Linked DNA regions of Xenopus tropicalis. The protein of the gene in region 2 purifies or fractionates together with the protein of the main gene of each other region. This does not show direct contact. Links are inferred from orthologs where the notes say so. Each region holds a gene or a part of one and is shown on either strand. Other genes may lie near its edges. The genes, in order: smad4.1, pias4 and ikbkg.

Evidence for each region.
Region 1: the proteins of pias4 (region 2) and smad4.1 purify together in Homo sapiens (affinity purification with western blotting, with the first as the bait; 3 studies listed by BioGRID). This does not show direct contact. The link is inferred for Xenopus tropicalis from reciprocal best matches to the Homo sapiens genes PIAS4 and SMAD4.
Region 3: the proteins of pias4 (region 2) and ikbkg purify together in Homo sapiens (affinity purification with western blotting; 5 studies listed by BioGRID, with this or other methods). This does not show direct contact. The link is inferred for Xenopus tropicalis from reciprocal best matches to the Homo sapiens genes PIAS4 and IKBKG.

What each region holds. Positions count from the first base shown.
Region 1 is NC_030677.2:205,054,954-205,062,085, forward strand, and holds the start of smad4.1 (mothers against decapentaplegic homolog 4), read left to right. Parts: upstream 1-3,059; 5' UTR 3,060-3,222; intron 3,223-7,132. UniProt on the Homo sapiens protein: In muscle physiology, plays a central role in the balance between atrophy and hypertrophy. When recruited by MSTN, promotes atrophy response via phosphorylated SMAD2/4.
Region 2 is NC_030677.2:93,074,971-93,082,004, reverse strand, and holds the start of pias4 (E3 SUMO-protein ligase PIAS4), read left to right. Parts: upstream 1-3,096; 5' UTR 3,097-3,102; coding exon 3,103-3,129; intron 3,130-7,034.
Region 3 is NC_030684.2:25,683,693-25,690,712, reverse strand, and holds the start of ikbkg (NF-kappa-B essential modulator), read right to left. Parts: upstream 4,574-7,020; 5' UTR 4,375-4,573; exon of another isoform or gene 4,265-4,374; intron 49-4,264; 5' UTR 17-48; coding exon 1-16. Other genes in the region: g6pd (glucose-6-phosphate 1-dehydrogenase), read left to right, coding at 4,756-4,777. UniProt on the Homo sapiens protein: Regulatory subunit of the IKK core complex which phosphorylates inhibitors of NF-kappa-B thus leading to the dissociation of the inhibitor/NF-kappa-B complex and ultimately the degradation of the inhibitor.

The DNA.
Region 1 (7,132 bases), about 110 Mb from region 2:
TGCAGTCAGGGGCCCCATATAGGTGCCATGTACAGGGGCTATATTCTCTGCAGTCAGGGGGCCCCATATAGGTGCCATGTACAGGGGCTATATTCTCTGCAGTCAGGGGGCCCCATATAGGTGCCATGTACAGGGGCTATATTCTCTGCAGTCAGGGGCCCATATAGGTGCCATGTACAGGGGCTATATTCTCTGCAGTCAGGGGCCCATATAGGTGCCATGTACAGGGGCTATATTCTCTGCAGTCAGGGGCCCCATATAGGTGCCATGTACAGGGGCTATATTCTCTGCAGCCAGGGGCCCCATATAGGTGCCATGTACAGGGGCTATATTCTCTGCAGCCAGGGGCCCCATATAGGTGCCATGTACAGGGGCTATATTCTCTGCAGCCAGGGGCCCATATAGGTGCCATGTACAGGGGCTATATTCTCTGCAGTCAGGGGCCCATATAGGTGCCATGTACAGGGGCTATATTCTCTGCAGTCAGGGGGCCCATATAGGTGCCATGTACAGGGGCTATATTCTCTGCAGTCAGGGGCCCATATAGGTGCCATGTACAGGGGCTATATTCTCTGCAGCCAAGGGCCCATATAGGTGCCATGTACAGGGGCTATATTCTCTGCAGCCAGGGGGCCATATAGGTGCCATGTACAGGGGCTATATTCTCTGCAGTCAGGGGGCCATATAGGTGCCATGTACAGGGGCTATATTCTCTGCAGTCAGGGGCCCATATAGGTGCCATGTACAGGGGCTATATTCTCTGCAGTCAGGGGCCATATAGGTGCCATGTACAGGGGCTATATTCTCTGCAGTCAGGGGGCCATATAGGTGCCATGTACAGGGGCTATATTCTCTGCAGTCAGGGGCCCCATATAGGTGCCATGTACAGGGGCTATATTCTCTGCAGTCAGGGGCCCATATAGGTGCCATGTACAGGGGCTATATTCTCTGCAGTCAGGGGGCCATATAGGTGCCATGTACAGGGGCTATATTCTCTGCAGTCAGGGGGCCATATAGGTGCCATGTACAGGGGCTATATTCTCTGCAGTCAGGGGCCCATATAGGTGCCATGTACAGGGGCTATATTCTCTGCAGTCAGGGGCCATATAGGTGCCATGTACAGGGGCTATATTCTCTGCAGTCAGGGGCCCATATAGATGCCATGTACAGGGGCTATATTCTCTGCAGTCAGGGGCCCATATAGGTGCCATGTACAGGGGCTATATTCTCTGCAGTCAGGGGCCCATATAGGTGCCATGTACAGGGGCTATATTCTCTGCAGTCAGGGGGCCCATATAGGTGCCATGTACAGGGGCTATATTCTCTGCAGTCAGGGGCCCATATAGGTGCCATGTACAGGGGCTATATTCTCTGCAGTCAGGGGCCCATATAGGTGCCATGTACAGGGGCTATATTCTCTGCAGTCAGGGGGCCCATATAGGTGCCATGTACAGGGGCTATATTCTCTGCAGTCAGGGGCCCATATAGGTGCCATGTACAGGGGCTATATTCTCTGCAGTCAGGGGGCCATATAGGTGCCATGTACAGGGGCTATATTCTCTGCAGTCAGGGGGCCCATATAGGTGCCATGTACAGGGGCTATATTCTCTGCAGTCAGGGGCCCATATAGGTGCCATGTACAGGGGCTATATTCTCTGCAATCAGGGGGCCATATAGGTGCCATGTACAGGGGCTTTATTCTCTGCAGTCAGGGGCCCATATAGGTGCCATGTACAGGGGCTATATTCTCTGCAGTCAGGGGCCCATATAGGTGCCATGTACAGGGGCTATATTCTCTGCAGTCAGGGGCCCATATAGGTGCCATGTACAGGGGCTATATTCTCTGCAGTCAGGGGCCCATATAGGTGCCATGTACAGGGGCTATATTCTCTGCAGTCAGGGGGCCATATAGGTGCCATGTACAGGGGCTATATTCTCTGCAGTCAGGGGGCCCATATAGGTGCCATGTACAGGGGCTATATTCTCTGCAGTCAGGGGCCCATATAGGTGCCATGTACAGGGGCTATATTCTCTGCAGTCAGGGGCCCATATAGGTGCCATGTACAGGGGCTATATTCTCTGCAGTCAGGGGGCCATATAGGTGCCATGTACAGGGGCTATATTCTCTGCAGTCAGGGGGCCCATATAGGTGCCATGTACAGGGGCTATATTCTCTGCAGTCAGGGGCCCATATAGGTGCCATGTACAGGGGCTATATTCTCTGCAGTCAGGGGGCCATATAGGTGCCATGTACAGGGGCTATATTCTCTGCAGTCAGGGGGCCCATATAGGTGCCATGTACAGGGGCTATATTCTCTGCAGTCAGGGGCCCATATAGGTGCCATGTACAGGGGCTATATTCTCTGCAATCAGGGGGCCATATAGGTGCCATGTACAGGGGCTTTATTCTCTGCAGTCAGGGGCCCATATAGGTGCCATGTACAGGGGCTATATTCTCTGCAGTCAGGGGCCCATATAGGTGCCATGTACAGGGGCTATATTCTCTGCAGTCAGGGGCCCATATAGGTGCCATGTACAGGGGCTATATTCTCTGCAGTCAGGGGGCCATATAGGTGCCATGTACAGGGGCTATATTCTCTGCAGTCAGGGGCCCCATATAGGTACCATGTACATAGAAGCTTTTTGTTTTTTTAAGGGCCCCATTTTACAGGGTTCATCACCTTTGGGGCCCAGGTGACTGGAGGGTTAATACTTGAAGCCGCATGATTACTTTTGACGGCCCTGGCTGCTGGTTTAGGATTGGCTGCTGCTGTACTGGCACTGTGAGACTAAAGCAAAGGGTTAATAATATAAATAAAAGGCAGAGGCTTTCCCAAAATCAAGCAGCAGGCCTGGGAGCGTAACCAGCCCCGTTAGCAGAAGCAATCCAGTAAGCAGGGCTTCTTCCAGAATGCAGCACTACTGCGCTAGTAAGGCCCCGCCCACAGACTGGCAATTCCGCCCTGTTCTAATACAGCCACGCCTCTTTCCCTAACTAGCCTTTTCCTTTCTCCACGCTTCCCCGCCTCCTCCTTCCCGCTCCATGCCGGCCCCGCCCACCCCCTGCTCAGTGGCCCGGATGTAGGCTGGATCGCTGCTGCTGTTGCTGCTGGTACGCAGGCGCGGCCCGTATCTGGGGGTTCTTGTTGTCCGCGGCCTGGGCCGCTGTGGAGCGGGCGGGGGGTGCCGGAAGAAACGGAGCTTTTCTTCACTTCGAATTCGGTAAGGAAATAGGCGGGAAGGAAGGGGTTGCTCCGGGCCTGGGCTGGGAGTGTAGTTCCCAGGCCGCCCGGGGATTAGCTGCCTTGCCGCTCATGGAGAGGGAGGGGACGGGCTGAGGCTCCGGGGCACAAACACTGGAGGCGGTGAGGCGCTTGCCTATCTTACGGGCGCCTTTAAAGCTCCTCTTTTCCCATAGGGGCCTATGGGAGTTACGGTTTGTCAGCTCTTACACATATCCTGTGCGGCTATTGTTGTTGCAGGGGATGATGGGAGTTGTAGTTCAGTAAAGACAGAGAAGCCCAAACCCTTATAGTGGTTTCCTAATTCACCTCTTAGAGGTTGGGGATTTGATTGATTGTAAGCTCCCTGGCTGAGGCTGATATGTACAGGAGGGTTTATTGACCCCTAATGGTTCCCAATAACCATGGGGTTATTTTATTGCTACTAGGGATGGGCAGTGGCAGGTAGGGATGGTCAAACCGCCTCTCCTAATGCTTTCCAATGGGTAGAACAGGAGACACAGGGAGAATATACAAATATATATATATAATGCCCTGACTGGGATCGAACCTACAACCCCAACACTTACCCCAGTGATTACTGGACAATACTGCTGTAGGACTCGGTAGCTGGGGCACAGAGAGAGGTTATAGGAATATCTGAGCCTAGCTCCCCCCGCCCATAAACCAGGCCACTGTGGGCTGAAAGGGACTGGCAGGTTTAGGTTTACTTCCCCTTTAAAGAGAATAGTAAGCCTCTAGGAAACATTGCTTCCTTTCAACGCTCTTATGGCATAGGGCTGCTGCCTAGCAACTAGTCATATGTTCCAATGTTAGACTGGATTGTAACTAGGAGTAGTTTTATTTGGCGGATGAGGCCTCTTGCAACAATGTAGCAGAAGTTGATTTCCTCCAGATCTATCTGCTGGCTTCTTCTACATTATTGTTATTAAAGATTATCATAAGGGATAATGTACCCCCTACTGTAAATGATAAGGATATTAGCAGTCACTGAGGGGTTATGTGCCCATATAAAGGCACAAGGCTGCAGGCTGAGTTATACAGGGAACTCTGAGTATCACTCATGTATTATAAGGGATAATGTACCCCCTACTGTAAATGATAAGGATATTAGCAGTCACTGAGGGGTTCTGTGCCCATATAAAGGCACAAGGCTGCAGGCTGAGTTATACAGGGAACTCTGAGTATCACTCATGTATTATAAGGGATAATGTACCCCCTACTGTAAATGATAAGGATATTAGCAGTCACTGAGGGGTTCTGTGCCCATATAAAGGCACAAGGCTGCAGGCTGAGTTATACAGGGAACTCTGAGTATCACTCATGTATTATAAGGGATAATGTACCCCCTACTGTAAATGATAAGGATATGAGCAGTCACTGAGGGGCTCTGTGCCCATATAAAGGCACAAGGCTGCAGGCTGAGTTATACAGGGAACTCTGAGTATCACTCATGTATTATAAGGGATAATGTACCCCCTACTGTAAATGATAAGGATATTAGAAGTCACTGAGGGGTTCTGTGCCCATATACATCGAGCCAAATGCAAAAAAAGACATATAGTGTCACTGTGTCGGTGAACACCAAACCATTGTCAGTTGGCAGATCGATGGGGATGTTGGGCTCACAGGTGGTGCGGCTGCATTGTGCAACCATAAAGCAGAGCAGCTGGGGGTTAAGCCGTGCAGGCACCTTAATGTCTCTGCGCATGAAGCGATGTGATTGGTGGTTCTGATTCCGTACACAATGTTCCTTTGCTGAAATTCATGATCCAGTTCCCCCCCCTTCTGTGAAACATTATATCTGATGCACGGATTAAGCGCCGGGGCTCAAGCTGCTTCTTTTAACAGTCGTTGAGGAGACACCATCAAGGCATATTATTAAATACAGCCTCATTCTTAGCATGCCAGCCGGCGGGCCGCTATCCCATCTACCATCATTGGATTATACACAAGCACTATACTGGGCTGGCAGATTGCTCTGAGCCTCCGTGCTGTACTGATATTAGTACCGGTGTATGCAAGATATCTCCGCCTGGTGTCTGCAATTCTTCTCTATTATTCATACTCTATGCCCTAGGGGGGTTACACAGTTCTGTATCCTTCTACCAGAACAGATCTGTGCATTTAAGTGACAAGCACATATCAGTGTAAAGCTGGGAATTAGGGATGCACCGAATCCATTTGGCTGAATAACGAACAGATTGCTAATTAGGTTACGGAAGGGTTACATCTTCATTAGCAAATGCTTATTAGGGTACGGAAGGGTTACATTTTCAACTTCCGTGTTTACGTGACAAAAAGTCACGTGATTTTTTGAATTTGGTTCGTCCAGGAGCATGGATTCGGCCGAAAGCAAATCCCGAACTGAATCCTGGATTCGGTGCAGCCCTACTGGGAATACACGTAGAATCTGTAATGGTCTGAACATTTTGGCTCCCAGTCCAACAACCAAACCATAATAGGGGCCCAACAGGATTCTGTAATGTGGTGGCCAAACTGGATCCAGATATCAGTCAGACAGGCCAGCAGGAGGGCTCCATATATTGGCTAATATGGGGCTGACTTGATCTGGAGGGACTAAAGGTGGCCATACACAGTAAGATCTGCTCACTTGGTGAGGTCGCCAAGCGAGCGGATCTTCTCCCAATATCCCCACCTACGGGTGGGTGATATCGGGCTAATTTGGTCATTTGGCCCTGGGGCCAAACGATCGAATTAGAATGACGGGTATAGGCGCAGTCAGTTCAGGGACCGCATCAACGAGCCGATGCAGTCCCCGGTCCAACTAAATTTTTAAACCTGCCTGATTTTAGGCCAGATATCGGTTGGGCAGGCCAGTCGGTAGTGCCCATACACGGGCCGATAAGCTGTCAAGTCAGTCTAAGGGACTGATATCGGCAGCTAGAATTGGCCCGTGTATGGCCACCTTAAGATCTGCTTTGTTGGTGAGGTCGCCAAACGAGCAGATCTTTTCCCAATTTTCTCCCGATATGCCAACCTAAGGTAGGAGATATTGGGCTAAATTGATCCTTTGGGGGGTATATGGGATGTCGGACCGAGGACTGCATCAATGAGCCCCTATCCGACGGGAAAATCAAGATCTGTTGGGGTAGGCCCGTGGGGGGTGCCCATACTCAGGTAGATAAGCTGCAGTATTTGTCTGAAGGACCCAAATCAGCAGCTGAAATCTGCCCCGTAAGGTAGCTGCTTTTATTGGTTACGTTATGAAAGAACGGAAGGACAAATGCTTCAAAGGAACTTGGGCACATACATTTGGTTGAATTATAGGTAGTAGTTTGTCTTTCATAGGGCTGCTGTCTGAAATAAATTGTACAGCAGCTGTACACCCTAATAGTAATTTAAAAAAAATTAGTTTATTAAGGATTTTAGTTGCCCGTGATAACCATCCGTGCCATGGATTGATGGATCCCTTCCTTTGCCTTTTTTGTGTGTAAAGTAATGGTGTTTTGACAGCACAGGCCTGGGGACGGCTATCGGAAGTGACATGTGGCTGTGATGGTCACATCAGGCTCCCTTAGGGCTCTGCGCTCCAGAATCCATTAAGGTATCAGATTCCGCAAAAGGTTTATATTTCTCTCCTTTACTGACACTGAGTTCTTCATTAGTGACAATGGAGTTTTTATATTGATCCGTATCTGGTGGTGCCAGAAGGGACCCATGGCAGTCTGAGTATATGGCACCCACCCCCTGGCAAAGAGACTCTTCTGATCCAGATGCGCTCTCCCTTTGCACGAACGCTTTGCTGACTCAAAACAGTTTCCTCTTCTGTTATTTTTGGCATAGACCAGGCGGCAGAATTTTCCATGTGTGTTCGGTTTGTTTACAGATGGGAGTGCGAGAAGGTGAAGAATCCACGCACATCTCTG
Region 2 (7,034 bases):
CATTTAAATTATTTCGACATTTAATAAATGCAAGAATGATCGTGTTTTTTGATCCTCTGGATCAACTAGAAGTTAGGCAGGTTATATATAGGCATTATGGTTGAACGTGATGGACGTATGTCTTTTTTCAATCCAACTTACTATGTTACTATGTTACTATTCAAAAAAATACCAAGTAGCGTTTATACAAATTTCAAGGCCAGAAAAATTCTAGTTTTAGTAAATCTGCCCCTTAGTGTTTTTATCAGTGGGTAAAAGTTAGAGTTCGCTATCTGATATACACTTCTAAAAACACTATAGGAATGAATAGAAAGTGGGTGAGTTTTTTTGCTTTGAGCTCTTTTGCAAAATCTGCCCCTAAGCATTCCTTTGTGATAGTGATTTCTCGTATTGGTTATTGGCCTGTATATTTCACTGTGGCTTCTCCTTATTCTCAGCCTGACCTTTGCCTGGCTTTTGAATAAAATTTAATCTGGACCACTCTGGCCTCAGGGTAAACCTCACTAAATCCACTCTATTCTTTGTAGACAAACAAAAGAACAACCCAGAACACAACCAACACTCGCTGATAATAACTCCAGAGTTCAAATACATAGGCATTAAGGTATCACTACCTACTTCCACCTACTGGGTAATGAATATCTTACCACTGTTGGGCATGGTGGAAACAAGATTTAAACAATGGGCTGGTCTACCACTCAGTCCACAAGGTCATATTAGTTTAATAAAAATGACAATACTCCCCAAAGTATTGTATATACTTACACATGCTCCTATAAGGGTCCCCAAATCCTTTTTCCAAAAATTTGATAAAATAATGAGCCCCTTTATATAGGGAACGGGGAGAAGGAGACTAAAACTAGACTACCTTAAAAAAGCTGCAGACAGTGAAGGAGCATCTCTACCAGAGACTGAGAACTATACCACCTGGCTACCCAACTAGCACACGCCAAACCCTGGTTCACCCAAAAACCTAATTGCCCATCCTCCAAACTGCTAATGGCCCTGAACAACACACAAAGACCCATCCTACAAGAGATGCTAAAAACCCCAACTGACAAACCACGAAACACAACCCACCCTATAATATCTCTAACCCGCACCTTATGGTCGCGCACTGAAGCAGTATGCACACACCAGGCTAAACACCTAGACACACCCATATGGAACAACCGAGCGCTTAATGAATTTACCCACATAGAGGCAGGGCGGATATGGAACAACAAAGGGGTACAAATACTACAACATTTGGTGCAAAACAACTCCCTTAAACCCTTTGACAGACTCCAAAGGGAATACGAAATGCCCGGTACCCAAAGGTTAACATATAGGCAAGTACAACATGCCTACCAGTCAGCCCCCTTTAAGGTGGGAAAATCACCCTTTTGCAGAATACTTGAGGTACAAACATATAGTACATTAACATTCTGCAAATATGAAAAGGCCAATGCCAGCCTCTTCAGGGCATGGCGAACTGATATCCCCGCACTAACTGATGATGAATGGTTGGACGCCTTGGAGGCACCCAGGTTCATTTCCCCCACTGCTAACCACAAAATGATTCAGAAGCTTATCCTTCACAGGGCATACTTTACCCCACTAAGGCTGCATAGGATGAACCCCCAAATATCCCCTAACTGTACTAGATGCGGCCTAGCCCCAAGTACCTTTATATACATGCTGTGGGAATGCAATAAGCTGCAATTATACTATAGAAAGTTATTTGCCACAATAGCAGAAACAACAAACATGCAACTCCAGCCTTCCCCGGAACTAGCTATATTAGGAGCATGCGATGATTCCCTGGGTAACAAATGCCAGCTAACGGTTATACGACAAGGCCTCTTCCAAGCCCGTAGATGCATAACATACCTGTGGAAAGATGTGAACCCCCCCAACCCACCAAACATGGCTAGACCAAATGCAGAAATATATAGACTGTATGCAATACCTATACACAAAAACAGCAGCCCCAGAGAAGTTTGACAAAATATGGGGTTCCTGGCCCCTCCCCTAGATATTAACCTAAGAAAGCCAAAGCCCCATTACTGTATGAGCGACAACTAACACACCCTACCCACCGTACGCCCACGACAAACCTCACACCCCTGGATTTGCCTGCTAGGTTAGGTAACAACTCTTATCACCTACTTTACCATAGGTTACGTTATGTTAACTTCATTTGTTTTAGTATTACTTTTACTTTTATTTCTGGACCTTGTGTAAAAACTGTTTCAACCGGTAAGCCGACATATATATGTACAATGCCGATGCTATGCACTTTGGGAAAACTGTAACAAATACTTCAAAGTTCCTAACTCTGATGTGTAACAAAAGATTTACATGTATTATATGATAAATGGTCAATAAAGGTTATGATGTTAAAAAAAAATGTATTCTGAACCAACTATCCTGGTCCTGCCTCTCACTCCTAGAGCTCCCAAAAAGGAATGTAGGGTTTTTCAGTGTTCTTTTGAGTTCTTCTTCTTACATGACCAATATATTCACTTTAGAGTTCATGGTATTATCAGTTTTTACACTGACAACGAAATATTTTCCTACTGTCAGCCCCACAGTTTCCATACAATGTCCATATTTGTTTACAAATGCGTAACCAAGACCAAACAGTGTATCCATCAGATAAACGTAAATCAATCATACACTATTAGGGACAAAACACAGCAAAGAAATAGAACATGTGCACAAATTTTCCTCTGCTGTTTAAGATCTTTAATACCAAGTCACTATCTATCTACAACTACCACATAATAGTTAACGCCGTTAAGGAAACAAAGCTTTCTTCACTAGTATATGCTAGTATTTTCCAATTGGTCTATTTTACCCACAAAAAAGAATTACAATGTAAGCGGCAACGTTACATTACGTCATACGCACAACCAATTGGTGATAAGGCATTACAAAGGGAAGACTCCTCCCATGCCGGACTGCCGGACTGCCGAACGTATAATCATGGAGAGATATACGCAAGCGCGAAGTGGTAGGAGCCGAGCTTGTAAAGAAGCGATTGGGGATTGGCACATGAGCGCGCGGGATGATCACGTGGGGCGGCGTCGGCCGGCGCGGGGGACGCTGGAAGCCAAGATGGCGGCGGAGCTGGTGGAGGCGAAGGTGAGACGGGAAATGAGGGTTTAAATTAGTGAGATCTTGGCTACTTTGCCTATTCATTGCAAGAATGCCTCCCAAGTGTAATACACTAAATGTCCCTATTTCGTTTTGCTTTGTGTCCTATTAAGGTTTTAGTTACTGTACGTCTATAATGCGCCCACCATTTACGGCATATGGCCCGCAAGCGACTTATTTCTCTGTACTGTTACACAAAATGTTGCCGGTTATTCTTTGTGCTTAATGTCCAAATTTAGTTCTCCGATGCAAATAATTTTCAAACAAATAAGTGCTTAGCCGTAATTTCTAGCCACTGCTGTCTGGGAGATAGTAATATAGCGCTATCCGGCCCCATCGTATTCTTACTCTCTCTTTCTTAGTCTCAGTAGTTTCATAATGATCATCCACAGTTATTCTCCAAACAGTTCTACCTGTCTGTCATTTGGCTGGTTGCTTTTATTTACCTAAAGTAGTATTTTATTTAGAATCCAACGTTAGATGGTTGGAGACATTAGGGGCCCCTCTGCGCATTTAGAAGACCTTGTTTATAAACATCTTTTGTTTTACATGTATGGATATCTTGGTACTTTTAAGTAATGCCTTAGACTTTGCTGGAGTTTTATTGATATTTATTGTGGATATATTAGTGTGCAACTTAAATGTTTAAACTTTCATAAGGGCCATGGCAAATGCTTTATATATAAAATTTCCCATTGACACTAATAAGGTGCTCCCCTGAATACTTTCAGGTGGAGATATTCCTTTTTTTGATATAATCGAATACAATTGTTGCTTATTATTCTGAGAAAGAGTAGTTGTATTGGATACAAGTTTTAAGCCTTTAAGGGATATTGTCGCCCGGATCATTTTAGCAATAATTTATTTATTTTTGTACATTGGAGGTCTCATTATTTTTTGAATTGTCCAACAGAGCTTTACTTTATTAGCTAATGTTCTATTATTAAGTTTATCTGTTGAATTATTTGCTATAATCTTTGCTATATGTATGCATTCCATACTCTTATGTCACATGTGGTGCTTGCTCTGGTGACAAAATGCCCATACTTCCTATCAGACAAGGGAAGGTTCACAGGTGGTTTTAGGCATTTCCACCACCCAGAGGATCTGCATTATTGATCCGGCAATGTCTTTTGGTGCATTGACATTTGTATCAAGAATCTTTGCCACAATGCAAGGCTGGCTTTTTGTGTTTGCCAGAATGGAAATAGAAAGTCACATGAGTACCACAAACTAATTTTCTCCATGCAAGCATTAAATAACTTTAAAAGTTCATATTTTTCAAACTACTCTTTATGCAATATTTAAATTGTTATGCAAAAGAAAACACGTATTCTTTTTCTATCCATTTTTAAAGAACTGTAAAATTATGAAAGATGAATGCATATTGATACACATTTCTCCTCTTGTCTAACATTTTTCAGTTGGCAGAGAAATGGCTGATAGCCACTCCCACCTCCTCCTGTTCACTTGAATGGGCAACATCTCACAGTGCCTGAAGGATACCGAGCCTCTCAGGCATGGTTGGGAGTTAGCATTTTGTGATGAAACGACCTACCTTAATCCTACAGTTCAGGTGCCTTGGAGGCTGACAAATTTATTTTTTAGTGGGTCACGAGCAGGTGATGGGCTCAAATCCCTAAGGTCAGGTGCGAGTCCACTCGCACCTTACTTATAGCAGTAAACTGATGCACCAGCTTTATTACTTAGTAACATAGTAGATGACATTATAAAAAGACACCCTTCCATCAATTTCAATCTTTTTGCCAGAGGATGGTGAAAAAAAAACTGTAGCCTCTCCAAGGAAAAATCTTTCCTGATTTTCCTACTAAGAAGTAATTCAGTAAATTTTGATTTCCTTATGTTCTAAAGATATCCAACCCTTTCTTAAAACTTATGCTTCTGCCAATACGGAAGACTCAGGGGAGTCCTCACTGTGTAAAAAACATTTAGCATACTAAAATGGAACTTTCTTCTAATCTGAATGAATGCCCTCACATTAGCTGGAAGGACCTACTGGTTAATAAAGCATCAGTTTATTGCATGGCCTCTTTGAATATTTATACAAAGTACCATGTCCAACTATAAATGCCTCTTCTCCAGCTAAAACATATCGGAGACCACCCATACCCTTTATCAGCATAGTTACTCCTCTGTGGACTTTTTGCATTAATATCTATTTTAAGGATTGTAAACCACAACTTCCCTTTCCACTTAATCTGAGGAATTGTGTGAGATATATATTTTTGTAAATTTTAAGATATTGTGCAAGATATATATTTTTACAGTTCAAGTACAGCTATGGGATCCTTTATCCGGAAACCCCTTATCCGGAAAGTTCTGAATTACGGAAAGGCCATCTCCCATAGACTCCATTATAAGCAAATAATTAAAATTTTTAAAAATTATTTCCTTTTTCTTTGTAATTATAAAACAGAACCTTGTACTTGATCCCAACTAAGATGTAATTAATGCTTATTGGAGGAAACACAAGCCTATTCGGTTTATTCAATATTTAAATGATTTTTAGCAGAACCAAATTACGGGAAGATCCCTTATCTGTAATACCCCGGGTCCCGAGCATTCTGGATAACAGGTCCCATACCTGTAGTGTTTTTTTTTTTTTTTTTTTTTTTTTTTTTTTTTTTTTTAAACCAATTGAATTGAGCTTGTGCCATAAAGGATAGTATCAGTTATTCTCCCTTTTGTTTTCAAGAAAGCTCCTGTTAATCTAAATGTCCTGTCCACCTTCCTGCTTAGACAGAAAAGTAATGTAATAGCTTAGGTTGACACACGACCATCAAGTTCAGCTTTTTATGTCCATGAATCCAGCCTGGAGAAAGGCAAAAACAAAAAAACATTTCTTAGCCTGTCCACAGCCTCGGAGGTTAAAAAGATATTCCTTCCTGGCTCTAAGATGGCAGTTTGACCGGACCCTGAATCAACTTGTACTAAAAGCTTTAAGAAAGCAAGACTAACAGTTCACAGTCAGGAATGAAGAAGATTGACATAGCATTTTACCAAATGAGCAGCAGCTCATTGAGGCGTGCCTAACATTTGGCACCCTCCATTGATTTAAATTTTTCTTGTCCTTTACAAGTATTTATAGATGATTGAAACTAAGATAAAACATATGCTCATAAGTATTTCAAAAAAATCTCACCCGTAGTATAGATGGGCCCATGCCCCAGACCTTCAGCTAGAGGGAGCCATCATGGATAAGTCGCAAACATAGAAAGAAGGCAGGCACTCCGGTATTATTAAGTGAAGGAAAGCGATTGTTCACGAGAGGATTGAAGTAAAATCACAATACTTTTATTAAGCTAACACATGATACAGAGAGCCTAACGCGTTTCGTACCCTACGGTACTTAATCATAGGCTGAATGAAAATAAGTAAATTAAGTACCGTAGGGTACGAAACGCGTTAGGCTCTCTGTATCATGTGTTAGCTTAATAAAAGTATTGTGATCTGAGGTAATGTGTCTTATACCACTCTATGGGCAAGCCGCCCGGGCCTGGCGCCTTGCCCGAGGGGAAGGATTTTATGGCCTCTGGGACCTCATCTGAGGTAATGTTTTTATTTAGAAACTCTGTTCTTTCTCTGGAAAGTTTGTGGATTGAGATGCTATCTAAGTATTTGGCCAGGGTTTCCTGGGGGTGGTGTGTTTTAGACCTATACAGTTCGGCGTAAAATGCAGTGAATTCGTCCTGGATTTGGTCCAGCTCATGTACCTCACTTCCCTCCGAGTTCAGGATTCTGGGGATAGCGGTTAACTGGGAGGGCTCTCTAGAGAGTATAGAGAGGAGGCGGCCACATTTGTTGCCTTTTTCATACCAGGTGGCTACTTGTTTGACTTCCCCTTGCGAATACTTTTCTGTATAGACTAGGTT
Region 3 (7,020 bases), on a different chromosome or scaffold from region 2:
GCGTTCGCACGTTCATTCACTGCGGCCCGGGCTTGTCAGTCTATTTACCTGAGGGAGAGAGGTACATCAAACTTTGATTAGCCAAATGGACGTCACAGGACAATGGGCAGGTTCTGCAAACTGGGGAACATGCTCTGGTCCCTAATTTCTCAGTATAAAGTCTTTTTAATATTTAAGGACAGCCAAAAGAAAATATATATATAACTTTGAACAACTGCTTTTCTTCACTGCAATACCAGAGTGCCTGCCTTCTCTCAACGTTTGTGCTTTATCCATAATGGCTTTCCCTAGCTGAAGGTCTGGGGCATGAGCACCTGGGCTCATCTATACTATGGGTGAGAATTTTCTGAAACACTTTGAGCATATGTTCTGTTCTTTGTATCTTTGGTATACCTGATAAGAACCAAGAACAAGAGCTGCCTGCTGGTCAAACAGGTATGGCATACACAGTATGGTTACCTTTCTATTGTTCCATTCTGTTTGGGGTCTACCACAACCCCTGTAACGTAACCTAATTACTCTTACTCGTAGGGAGGAAATACCCTTTCATATATATGAACCAACAGCACCCATTACAATTCTACATCATGGGGAGGGGGTCCAACAGACATCTCAAGTGGGCAATGTTCTAATGCTGAGTCACCAGCGCTGGTAGACCATGACCTACTTTTTCACAACCACTGGCCTTTCTCATACCTGTCGGAATAATAAAAAATCTTCTCTCAAGTATCTATAGTGGCCTGCTATAGACAAAGTTTATATTAGTGATGCATGGTCTGGCGGGTTCGGTGGATCCAGGCTAAAAGGGCAACCACTTCTAGAGCAGGTTGGTATTTCCAAGGGCAGGGCACAGAATGCTTCATATGTGCTCAGCATCAAATCACTGACATTGGCAGAATGGTTCAGGTTTTTTTATTTCCCTTCTCAATCTTGGGCTGGATTGGGTCCAGAAGGGATGGGTTAGGGTGGACCCAACTCGGAAAAAAATTTAGACCCAGGCATAACAGGTCCAACAAAGGCATTTTAAGATATAACGTCAGTGTGTGGTGCCCTATATCTGCTCTTTTGACACTGGAAATGGTGGTCATAGAAGTGCATCTCATTATTTATATCTCTGATGGGTGCCTACTGCTGAACTGAGTGGAGTACCCAAAGGAAAGCCACACAGACACAGAAAGAACATACAAACTCCCTGCACATTGTATCCTGGCTGGAATTGAACCATTGCACTTCAGTGCTGCCAGCACTGATTTCATCTGAGCTTTTAATATTACATACTGATGGACTGGACCCAAGAACTCACAAATTGAAAGCAAAAGTATTTCTGCATAAAGCTACAGTATCATGCATTCCAGAAATGATGCAGAATTATCGGAAACACAGGCACAGTGTGAATTATTTCTAATTTGAATTAGATTATTAATGAAGGAAATTTACAATCACTGATGGGTGACAATACCCGTGGGTCAGGTGGGTTCAGGCAGACCTCGGCACATCACTTGTGCTTAATGGGCGGGTTAAGCTCTTCCACCTGCTTTACCTGTCCAGGACCGCAACACTGGAATCCTGCGTCTTACGAATTTATAGGTGCATGCCTGCCACACCCGCCCCTTTTGTGATGGTGGGGCAGGGCGGGCATGGGTCTATATATGCACCCCCCAGTAATTGTAGCTTTCCTTCTCTTTTTTTATCTCCAGAGGAACAAATGTACTCATTACAGGGGTTAAATTCCTGACCCCCATGCCATGCAGCATCAAGTTGCTATGGTCTATTTACCCTAGAAACCTGGCAGTGGTTTGAATAAAAGACTGGAATAAGAGGAGTCTGAGTAGAAAGATAAGGAATAAAAAGTAAAAAAATAACAATAAAATTGTAGCCTCACAGAGCAATTGTTTTTGGCTGCCACAGTCAGTGACCCCCATTTAAAAGCTGTAAAGAGGCAGAAGGAGGGCAAATAATTCAAACATTAAGAGAAATAAATAATGGAGACCAACTGCAAAGTTGCTAGGAATGGGACATTCTATAACATACTAAAAATCCACATAAAGGTGAACAACCTCTTTAAAAGTAGCTTTTCATTTATAGCCTACAAAGGCATTTAGGGAACCTGAGTTTCAGAGACTACACTGAATATACAGGGGTGGAAATTCCCCATGACACATGGGAAAATCCATAGGGCCAGTAAAAATGTTTACCCCACCCCAAAGGCTAGTTATTTGGTAAAACCAGACTGTAAACCATAGTTACCTCTACTAATAGAAAAAAAGAACATAAAAACATAAAACATTATAAACAGATATAGACATCCAACCATAAAGCAAAAGTAAATAGGAAACGGTTTAATAGAAACCAATGACCAGTTCTGAATACCAGAGAAAAAGGGAAAGTCCTGATGACATCACATAGTATATTGGCCAATTATATCTCTCCCATGTTATCAGAAGGAATAAGGAAGTAGTTGTGAATGTTATTGGAGAGACAGCGATAAGAAGGAAGCAAAGAGGAATGCAGCCCAGGTGATCAGTGTCTGCTGTTTGGGATCAGAGCAAAATTACATAATTACAATATGGGATTAAAGGACAATTAACACCAACATTTAATTATTACCTTTCTTACTTTTTATAGTGTCTGCATATTCTGGAGCACTTAAAGAGATTATACATCATTTCCATTAGTTCCTGCCCCAGTGGAGTTTACAATCTAAGGTCCATTTCATATTCCAATCAGCCCCTGCCCAGTGAGCTTGCAATCTAAGGTCCCTATCACATTCTCATCAGTCCCTGCACAGTGAGTTTACAATCTAATGTCCCTATCATATTCCCATCAGTCCCTGCCCCAATAAGCTTACAATCTCAAGTTCCCATCAGTCATTGCCCAGTGAGCTTACAATCTCAAGTTCCCATCAGTCATTGCCCAGTGAGCTTGCAATCTAAGGTCCCTATCACATTCCCATCAGTCCCTGCCCCAGTGAGCTTACAATCTAAGGTCCCTATCTTATTCACACACATTAGAGTCAATTCTATCAGAAGCCAATAAACCTGCCTGTATGTTTTTGAATGAGGGAGGAAAGCAGTGCAGAAAACAGAGAAACTCCTTGCCGACAGTGCCACCTGCACCCTAGGGCACAGCACTGCCCATAATTCCCTTGTTGCTGTGTGCATGTATATATGCCCCTTTATATAGTTTACCATAAAATTATTTGGACTGCTTTGTATTGCAATTGCAGTCTGCCAGACTATCCTCTGACCCCAATATAATGCAGCTGGTATCTCCATTGCCAATGTGCAAGTGGGCAAAAGGGGCAGATGTTGCACCCCTGTAAATCCAGCCATTCACAACACTGCCTATGCAAGCCGACTAACATAACCTGACCACCAGTGTCCACATGACAGGCAGGCTTAAGGTGGCCGATTGTAGCTGCCGATATCGGTCCCTTAGACTGATTCGGCAGCTTATCGGCCCAAGTAGGGGCACAAACGACAGGCCTGCCCGACCGACATCTGGCCTGAAATCGGTAGATATCAATCAGGCAGGTTAAAAATTTTAGTCAGATCGGGGACCGCATCGGCTTGTTGATGCGGTCCCCGACTGAATTAGCCTGAATTCACCCGATATTGCCCACCCGTAGGTGGGGGATATCGGGAGAAGATCCGCTCACTTGGCGATCTCGCCAGGCACTTTTAGAAAATATGCACTGCATCTGCGCCACACACACGCAGTTGGGTCTATTTTTGGCAAACCTAACGCAACTGTAGTAGATGAGTTGCAATTGTGTCAAGAGAATCATCAATTTGTGATTGCAATGACCCCGTAATTCTGGAAAAAAACAGTGCACTGTGGGTAAATTCCACTTTATGCCCTGCGTTTAGGTAAGTGAATGTGACCTATGGTGTATACAAATGCTGCTACTGACAGCTTGCTGTCTAAGCTCTCCTCCATTCCAAATCTCCCTGATTCCCCCTACACTTCACATCATCAGGTACAATTGGTTTTTTAGAGGTCTTTTCATTAAAATAGAGCACAATCAGCTGACTGTCCGACATACCCTATTGCTATTCTCTACACTGCTGGTTCTGACAACTGAAACCTGCATGAGCAATGACTATACACAGGAAGGGATACATACAGCTACCGAGTGCATTTACAAATAGCTGTAAAATCAGTGAAAACGTTGAATGCATGTATGGGTTAGCTGCTTGTGATGTTCTGCTATGGGTGCTGGATCCGACACCCATTCTATTAGTATAAAACCACTTTTAATTACCTACTGTGCAGTAACGCTTAGAGTCTCCACTCACTGTCTCAGGGTCGGCTTCCTCCACCCATTCCTTGAACAAAATGAAACTGAAGTCCAGGTTCTGTCAAGACACTTACCAAAGTGTTTTTGTATCGCTTCCGGGTTCGCTTTCCGTAGATGGTCCAACCCCAGGAAATGAGGCTCACGCTGTTTGACAGTATTGTCGGAAGTGGGGCAGGAGTCCTAAACCGGAAATGAAGCATGGCATGACTGCATTGGATTAGAAAAAAATGTAAGCGGTAAAATGTGCCAATACTCTCCTGATGGCGACCTTCGGCAACATCCCCTCCTTTGATTGGCTGTTTGCCGCTTTTCTCTGTTTTCATTGGGGAACCGTGCTCATGCGGCGCACCTCATGGCGGTGAATGACGCAAGCCACGCCCATGTGGTGGCTAAACCATTCTCTGATTGGTGGAGCGGCGCCGGGGCTGGGTGTAACGCTACAGAAGTAGGCAGAGATGGGGAGCAGTCCCAGTGTGGGTGAGTGAGGGGGTGGATCTCTCACCTGGTGTCAGTGTTCCAGCACTAGAAAAATGTGTGGAAACCTGTTCTCTGTGTGTGTGTTAGTTATAGCGTGTGGGGGGTAGCGGCTACACGAGTAGCACACAGCCTGCTTACACGCTCCGCAGCATGCTTCTTTCAATGGAGAAATTACTGCCATAGAACTGCCACACGCGTCTCAATTAGAAAACCAAATCTGTTAGTGTTCTAGAGCGATGAATCCAGCTGCTAAAGCATTAGGTTTCATATACACCTGTATATATGCATGTCAGGAACCCTGAGCTATATTCTACTATAATGGGATTTTACCAGGGGCCACATTATTCTATATAAGTATCAGTGGGTGGTGCTGTGAATGACATCACTAAGTGCTGATTATAAACAATGACATCACTAGGTGCCATATCTGTATATGAATATTTTTACAGGTTAATCATTGCTCTTGTATGTGTTTAATGTGTGCGCACGTAACTCTGAAATTCATATTGGATCTATGTATATTATATGTATGTATAAGTGATCCATAGTTGGGAACTGTTCCTAATGACCAGGCACTGTGCCAGTTGCTGACCAATTGCAGCATTTTGTTATTCCAGTGATAATAAAGCAATTTTTATGGTTTTCTCTTTCATTTCCCTGCAGAGTCCTCCCTCCTGACCCAAAAACACCTATGTACCCCAATAGGCAGAGGAAGTCATATATATGGCAGCTGCCAACCCTGCTGCTCTACTCTGCCTTAAATCCTGATGTACGAGGAAGCATAAGGCTGGAACTAGGGCTAGGCAGCAGGGGCATGTGACTCAATCACAGTTGGGGGGCACAGGCTGGACTGGCATTCAGGGCCAGAACTAGGGGTAGGCAGAAGAGGCAGCTGCCTAGGGGGCAACGATTGAAGGGCGCCAGGCAGGAGCCTCTCTTGCCTACCCCTAGTTAGTGCTCCATTTTCATTACCCCTGCCGCGGTGGGGGCAATGAACTTTCACATCGCACCCCCCCGCCAAAACACACGGGGGGTGCAATGCAATAGTGCAGGGACTAGGTGGCCACCCGGGTTGCCTTGGGTGGCCGGTTGGCTCAGTCCACCCCTGCTGGCATTCCAAGTACACAGAGGCCCAAACAGCCCCCACCAGCCCAATAAATAGTGACTGGAAGAGCGGGAGCAAGCAGTGGGTGGCTGACCTGTAAATTGAACTGAAGTGGGGGATTGGTCCAGTTAGACAAGGGGGCACATTTACTAATCCACGAACGTCCGGAAAGCGTCCGAATGCGGTTTTTTCGTAATGATCGGTATTTTGCGACTTTTTTCGCGAATTTTTAGAGCGCTCAATACGAAAAAGTCGCGAAAATTTGCGAAAGTCGTAATGGCTATGCAAAAGTCGCGACAATTCAAGAAAGTCATAATGGCTATGAAAAAGTCGCAACAATTCACGAAAGTTATATTGGCTATGCAAAAGTCGCGACAATTCACGAAAGTCATAATGGCTATGCAAAAGTCGCGACAATTCACGAAAGTCATAATGGCTATGAAAAAGTTGCGACAATTCGCGCAAGTCGTAACGGCTACGAAAAAGTCGCTACGGTGACGAACAAATCGCAAAAAATACGAAAAAGTCGCAAAATGTTCGTTTCCAATCCAATTTTTTCCGATTCGGGATTCGGATTCGTGGATTAGTAAATCAGCCCCAAGGAGTCATGGGCCCTTCAGTGCCAATTATACTTGGCCTGGCTCTAGGGAAACATACTGTATTTGGGTGCTTGGTTTGGGATAGAGGTGTAAGGATTCTGCAGGGAACCAAAGAGGTATGAAGTGGTTTATTTCTCCTATAATACTATTTTGTCCCAATATAAATAATCCTTTCCATTTTTACCCTTGTCCCTTGTTGAATATTTGTGTTTCGCCGCACAACAATGCAATTAATTTAGTGATCTAAGTTTGCTTTATGGATATGAACCTAAAGTAGGAGATATAAATATTGTAAGATTGTAAGCTCTACTGGGGAAGGGATTGATGTGTAATTACTGCTTTAAAATCCAGTGCCAGAGAGTACTCTGGGATGTACAAGAGTGATGTGGGGAGAAAGGTGCATGGAGTAGAGCAGTGGAATGCTCAGTTTGGGAGGGATTTGATGAAGGGGAGTGGTGAAACATGCATAGTAGGCTGGGAGTCCCTAGACGGGAGCCTGCCTCTATGTCCCGCCCTATCAGACAAACACAACGCTCCTG